2 linked regions of the Saccharomyces cerevisiae S288C genome follow. The gene in region 1 interacts genetically with each later gene. Each region holds a gene or a part of one and is shown on either strand. Other genes may lie near its edges.

The links.
Region 2: of GLO2 (region 1) and GLO1, changing one enhances a phenotype caused by changing the other (phenotypic enhancement), as found in Saccharomyces cerevisiae (one study listed by BioGRID).

Annotation. Positions count from the first base shown.
Region 1 is NC_001136.10:1,006,680-1,010,334, reverse strand, and holds GLO2 (hydroxyacylglutathione hydrolase GLO2), read right to left. Parts: upstream 1,326-3,655; coding exon 501-1,325; downstream 1-500. Other genes in the region: DON1 (Don1p), read right to left, coding at 1-159; Cu(2+)-transporting P-type ATPase CCC2, read right to left, coding at 1,646-3,655. UniProt on the Saccharomyces cerevisiae protein: Thiolesterase that catalyzes the hydrolysis of S-D-lactoylglutathione to form glutathione and D-lactic acid.
Region 2 is NC_001145.3:261,205-265,015, forward strand, and holds GLO1 (lactoylglutathione lyase GLO1), read right to left. Parts: upstream 1,482-3,811; coding exon 501-1,481; downstream 1-500. Other genes in the region: TRM12 (tRNA(Phe) (4-demethylwyosine(37)-C(7)) aminocarboxypropyltransferase), read left to right, coding at 1-405; YML003W (uncharacterized protein), read left to right, coding at 2,279-3,151; VRL1 (Vrl1p), read left to right, coding at 3,337-3,811. UniProt on the Saccharomyces cerevisiae protein: Catalyzes the conversion of hemimercaptal, formed from methylglyoxal and glutathione, to S-lactoylglutathione. Can use gamma-glutamylcysteine as a substrate.

The sequences.
Region 1 (3,655 bases):
TGGAAAGTCAGTTTTCGGGCTACTTTCTTTTTCTTCAACGTTTGTATAGTCTTGCGATGGAAGCTCCAATCCCGAATTAGTGTTTTTAATATTCTCTACTTTTAGAAAAGAGGTTTTAGCAGCATTATTTTCTTTTCCCTTTCTATTTTTCTTTCCCATGTTTGATGCTTCTCTTACTTGTGTTTAAATACCAGCCAAAGTCAAGTAGATAGTAAACCGCAAAAGGAAAGCCATTTTAATTCTGGAGCTCAAATATCCATTGCTTTATTTCTACCCGAAAATGGTTTTGTGACGGCAATGATTACTCTACTCGAGCCGCCCGTATTATTGGAACTTTTCTTTCAGCCACGCGAAGACTAATTTTTATGACGGCACAACTACAAGAGTTCTAGTGAACAGACCTGAATGTTATAAAGTAGCGTTCCAAAAACTCTTATACATTGAAATAAAAGGGTATGCTAAAAGAATATTTTTAAGTATATTATACTCTGTTGGCTTTCCTACATACGGTTTTTCATAGCTCTCAATTTATCCATAATTTGAGCTCTGTCCCATGAATTATTCGTATCTCCGGCAGCTTTTTGGACCTTTGGATCTTCTAATCTCATGAATGGATTAAATTCTACCTCATCTTTCAAAGTGAACCGCCCTGCTGTGACTTCATGCTTGGAGCAGAATTGTTCTAACTCATCCAATGCTTTATTTTCACCAACTTGCGGGTAAATCTTACGAACAAACTTTACATTATCACTTGTGTATTCGTGTCCTGGATAAACCCTCGTTTTACTCCAGTTCTGCCTGCCCACAGTTTCTAAGATAGAATTGTTCAGAGCTATATCCATTTCTTCGCCTGTACCCTCAAAAAACCTACCGCAACCAGCGGTAAATAGTGTATCGCCAGTAAAAATGCAGCGCTCATCTGTTGTTGGATCTTTCACATAATAACAGATAGAGTCTCTGGTATGGCAGGGCGTCCTAATACAAGTAATCTCTAAGTCACCTAGGTGTAACTTTTTCAAATTCTCCGGAATTATCGTAACCTTTGGGCAGTCCTTTGACCCTCCTATAACCTCAACTTTTGAAGTTGGATTTTTCTCTTTTAAATACTTCAAGATATCAGCGTTACCATCTGCATGGTCATAATGGTGATGTGTATTAACAATTGCTTCAACACTTATTTTCTCATCCTCAGTCAACTCTGGCAGAACCTCAGGAGGCTCTGCTGGATCGATTAGCCACGATTTTTTATTTTTACTGTCGGACAATAGATAGCAGTAATTAACACCACCAGACTCCCATCTCATTTTAATCGATTTAACCTGCATTTTTTGTCCTCCTTTTCTTGTGTTTTTGTGTTGTCCTGCAGTCTTCCCTTTGATATTGGTAAATCTAGCAACTTATCTAAGAATACTAAAATTTTTCTAAGAGGGATATAATGGGTTTTTAAATCGGTAAAAAAATCCTTATTACCTCCATAATATCCCTTGAAACCGACGGGTAATACGACTAGTAGACTTACTGAAAATACATAGAGTAGGAGTAAAATATATGAATTTACTAAAAAATTGATGAATATTAATTATTATTATTGTTATAAATCTATATGCTCGTGGATTTTTTTAAATAAATTAGACTTACCTGTTATTTACAAGACTTCTTCGTTTGACATTAGTCCGGCCTGTGATTCTATGTCTTGCTCACCTGCAATAGCCCGCGTAGAAAAAAGCCTTGACCAAAAATTCCCAATCGAAAATTTGGACTTGAAATCTGAAATCCCATGTGATTCAATATCCGGTGGAGTCCACTTCTTCAACATCAATGAACTTAGAACGACACTGACCGAGCTGAATGCCATCGCTAAACCGGCGAGCATTGGAGGAAGAGTTATGCCCCAAGGAATGAGCACACCCATAGCAATCGGAATCATGAATATATTATAGCAAAGTGCCCAGAACAAATTCAGCTTTATTCTTTTGAACGTTTTTAGTGAAATATCGATGGCGTTGGCCAGTCCTCTCAAACTATTAGTATTCAGATCATTACCGCACAGTATAACAATATCAGCTGCTTCAATAGCAATCTCCGTACCTGTTGAAATGGCAATACCTAGATCACTCAGTGCTAAAGCGGGAGCGTCGTTAATGCCATCGCCAACAACAGCAACCTTGTTATTACCTTCTTTATCTTGAATTTTTTTCACGAGATCACATTTGCCTGTGGGTGACACATCGCTGTAAACATTTTCGAAGCTTATACCTACTTCTCTAGCGACTCTTTTTGCTGCTGAGTTATTATCGCCAGTAATCATATACGTTTCATATCCATTTCTTTGTAGATACTGAACTGTTGCGTAAGAATCATGTTTAACTTCATCATTAATCTCGAACAAGCCAAACACATGCCCGTTTACTGATACGTATGATACAGTGTTTCCTTGGTCGACATTACTGTTAATAAATCCGGATTTTTTTAATGCATCCTCCAAAATCAGCGCCTCGTTCCCAATACAAATATCATAAGTATTTCCATTAACTTGACACTTTGAGACTATTCCCTTTCCAAGCACGTATTCGCTTTCTAAAACAACGGCATTTAAAGCCTTATTACAGTTCAAACCATCACAATAACGTATAATTGCTTTCGAAACTGGATGGTCACTAATGGATTCCGTTGCTTTTATACAGGCGAGAACTTCGTCTTCATCCACGTTTCCAACCCAATTTGAATCTTTAAGGAACTTTTTCACAACCATAAAACCTGTAGTTAAGGTACCTGTTTTATCAAAAACAAAAGTAGTAATACTATTGAATTTTTCCAATACTTCTCCGCCCTTTATTAAGACACCATTCTGAGCTCCAACCCCTGTACCCACCATTATAGCAGTCGGCGTGGCAAGTCCCAATGCACATGGGCATGCGACGATGACAACAGAAGTAGCAGTTTGTAAGCAAATAAAAAAATTATCAGCCTTAGTATTTGCGGTGAAAGCGACGGGAGGATTAGCCGAGATGTTTAAAATAAAACACCAAATAAAGAAAGTCAATACTGCCAAAATTAGGATCCCCGGAACAAAAATAGAGGCTAAATAATCTGCATACCCCTGAATGGGAGCTTTACTCAATTGTGCTTCTTTCATTACCTTGATAATATTTGCTAATTTAGTTTCCTCCCCAACGGTAGTAGTTCTGAAGTAGAAATGTCCAGGTCCATTAACAGAACCAGCAATAACCGGAAAACCAGTTTTCTTGGGCACCAAAATGGATTCGCCTGTCATTAACGACTCGTCAATTTCAGATTCACCTCTTGTTATGATGCCATCAGCAGGAATTTTCATCCCTGGTTTAATCTCCACTATATCGTTCACTTGCAATAATTCTATGGGAATTTCCTTGGTTTCATTCCGCTCCACGTCAGATATAATTGAACACACCGATGGAGTGAGCTGAATTAATTTAGAAAGTGCGGTTGATGTTTGTGATTTAGCTAAAGTTTCCAAATATTTCCCGATGGAAATATATGAAATGATCATGATTGATGTGTCGAAAACGATCCTTGGGAGTTTGCCAGTACTTGAGGGATGGAACATATTGTGAACTAAAGAAAACACAGAAAATGTGTATGCACAAGTAGTGGAAACACAAACTAGTGTATCCAT
Region 2 (3,811 bases), on another chromosome or scaffold:
TGCCACGTTTTCCAAGAATCAAATGAAATGTGCGTTCAAAGGCTTACTGAATTCTTATCTCAGAATCCCGGATTTCGGTTACGTATTAGGCATATTAATTTAGGTCTCCTGCCTTCAAGCAAACAAGGGTGGCCATTGGCCATCAAATTAATTTACTTACAAGGAGCTTCTTTGGAAAAAGTGACAATGCATATACATGAAAATGTACACATAGATGCAATTGAGGATGGAAGTTTCGAAAAGAATGTCATTGTAGAACTCGACGCTATTAATGAGTCAATTGCATTAATTAGAAACCGTGGCATCAAACTTCAGTTTGTGAGATCTAAGCTTGAACGCATAAAAACTTTTGCACCAGATATTTGGCATGTATGCGTTGATGTCGACGTTATAGTAAGTACTTAAATACAAAATATAAATAATAATTAGTGTATGAAAAGTCAACAAGAATGGTCATTATTGTAAAAAAAAAATACTAACCTCCTATTCATTTCAACTTTTTAGGCAATCAAACCATGAGGAACGACTTCAATGGAATAACCATCAGGATCCTTCAAAAAGGCAATATTCTTCATTCTGCCTTGGTTAAATTTAGGAGACCATTGGATCTTATCGCCGTATTTCACTTCAATTTCTTTACAAAGGGCGCCAGCGTCATCACAACTTATGCAGATGTGACCATAACCCTGGGGCTCTGAGTTACCGTTATGATAGTGGAAGTTTGGATCATTCTCAGTTCCCCAATTATGAGTTAACTCCAACACACTTTCACATGAAAAAACGCTGTCGGTCTTTGGAACGCCATAACCAAGAAAGTATAACGTAAATTTTGCACTTTCGTGCTCACTAGTTCTTAATAATTTCATGCCCAACACATTCTGGTAGAATTCTAAAGACCGGGTTGGGTTTTTAATACGAATCATGGTATGATTGAACTTGTTACCTACTGAGCCCTTTGGGTATTCCTGACCCTCTCTAGAATATGTGATCAACTCAATCCAGTATCCATCAGGGCCTAAAGCAAACGCAATGTCCTTCTGTCTTCCTTCAGAGAGTCTCTTCTTGAATTTGACACCCTGAGATTCTAGCTCTTCGCAGGTTTTATTGATATCGGATACAGAAAAACAGATGTGCCCAAATCCACGATGAGGTTCCTCATTCCCGTTGTTGATCTTGTAGTCTGGGTTTTTTTCAGTACCCCAATTGTGAGTTAGTTCTAAGACACCGTGTGCGCTAAAAACATCAGGCTCTCCATTCTTATTTTTGGGTATGTCGTCTTTTGGAAAGCTTAAAAAGTACAAGCTAAATTTTGCTTCTTCAAAATCCTTTCTGCTTAATAGCTTCATACCGAAGTGTTCGGTGTAGAACTTAACGGTCCTTGCTGGATCCTTGACTCTTAAACATGTGTGATTAAGCAGAAGGGTTGGATCATTCGAGGCTTTCTCAATCTGAATTGGATAGCGTGTACTATCAGTGGACATTGTTAGTTTGTAGCTGGTGGCGTATCTGGTCTGAAGTGTCAAAAAAAAGGCATGGAAATGTTATTCCGATTTTTTTTCTCCCTATTTATAAACGTCACTAACTAGAAATACGGGATATCAACTACTACGAGAGAGGGACATTCTAGTATCAAAGAAACTTACTATGACGCAGTTTAGGATCCCTGTGGTGACTACGTATCCAGGTCTACTACTCCATCGTAAAGCCCCTTGTTTATTCAGTGTCCAGATCATATGCGGGATGTGTATTTTGTGCTGAGTGGAAAAATAAGATCATATGCTCAAGAATAAAGGGTTAAAGGGTATGGAAATTTCAGTTCTCCCTGGCTCAAGAACATTGTCAGTATTCCTATAACTGAAGCTGAGTGGTACTAATGCACCGAGATGCAAAGTCCGAACCACCCCCACCCCCCTCTTTACCTATTTTTTATATTTTGTGATAAAGGGATAACTCGTCTTGCCTTCACTGCGCTTCGATTCTACTTTAGCTAAACTAAGCGTTACTTTGTTTGAGAATCTCTCAGCCGTTAAATCAACGTACTTGTATACTAAACAGTATATTCACGTGATAACTTTGCCTTACACCTATGATATAGATAAATATATACATATATATGAGTGTGTGTGCATTGCGTCACTAAACTATGTTTAATATGACAGAAGGTTTTCGTTTAATTTTGCCGCTACCCGAAAATTTTGGCAGTTGCAATTTATAACTAAAGGAACCACCTTATTGTAAATTCCTCAACGGAAAAGCTATGGCTTAGCTAGGGTTGACAATGTCAGTTTACCATTTACCAACGCTGTTGAACCCGCTGGTTAATGCTATATTTAACTGTCCCGAACCAGAAAGATCCCCATTGAAAAAGCTTTTCGCTAATTTAAAAACCCGTAGGTTTATCCTCCTAGCACCTCCTTCAGAATACCTTTTGAATTACCACGATGTCAAGAGCAAACTGCCGTTACATGACCTCTGTTATAATGCAGAGTTTATTAACTCTTACATATTGTTAATGACTGAAAACTCTTACATAAATACGAATTCAAGGGACAGTCATTATGAAACGTTAGATGGTAAGACCGTTGTTATTCAATGGAAGAATAATGTGATCCATGCCTTAAATGGATTTCATATAAGGCGAAGACTAAAGATTCTAGAGACAAAAATATTACCCAATTTTAATGACTACTTTGAAGGGGCGGCTGATTTTATCATACTATTCATAGATCAACCTTTAAATTGCGAATTTGTACCTAACGACTACTTACAGTGTTTTCACAATTATGAGAAAATACCAAAAAATGCACATGCTATGCCAAATCTGTCGATAGATTCTTTTCAGCAAGAAAGATCGTCATTCGAGAATATATTGCACATTCATCCTGCTCGATTAACACAGCTTGGCCAATTGTTTTCGAGTTACAGAACGCTCGCTCCTGGTGATGATCCATCTAGAAGTATTTTTGAAAGCATCGTGCAACAAGCATTTGATGGAATGAAATCGGATTCACTTTTCAAGAACTTTTCTAATCTTTACGATCTTATACACGACTATTTTGAACTAAATCTTTACGATGATATATGGTCTAGGCTTACTACACATTTCAAAGGCCACGAAGTAGACACTGAAAAAATAAATATTTTTCAGTGAACCAGTTGTTGACAGATTTTTACTCAAAAGATTATGGGGAATTTAAATTACACGACATCACTCTTATTGAAAGGCGTCTCCATCTAGCGTCCAAACATCTTCAAAAGTTGGCTTTGACCCATTCATACGCTGAAAAATCTAAAATATTAGTTGAAACTCTACAGAAATTATCAGGTACTACCGAAATGGATTCACATCAACTAGAACTACCAGACGGATTGAATAACATGACGATGGATGCAGACACTTTAATTAGCCTTTTTGTGCTCGTTGTTTGCAGAAGTGAACAAAAGCACCTTAAAAGTCATCTTTACTATTTGCAAAATTTTTCGAATAACTCTTCTTCTACAAAATTCGGCATTCTAGGGTATGCTGTATCCACACTGGAAGCAGTGGTTTGTTATTTCGAAGACTTCAACAAAAATACAGGCAACGTGGCGAAAGCTAACACATTATGTGAAAAAACTAAGAATTTATTAGATAAGTTGTCATGTGAAAACCCCACAAATGAAGTAGAAGATCTGGCAACATACAAGGATATTTTGACCTACAGAAATGAGCAAGGACAATCCATTCTATCCATATGTATAACAAATCATAAAAACTACATCTTATTAGATATTCTTTCTGAATATGAAAACGACTTTCCAGTAGAAGACC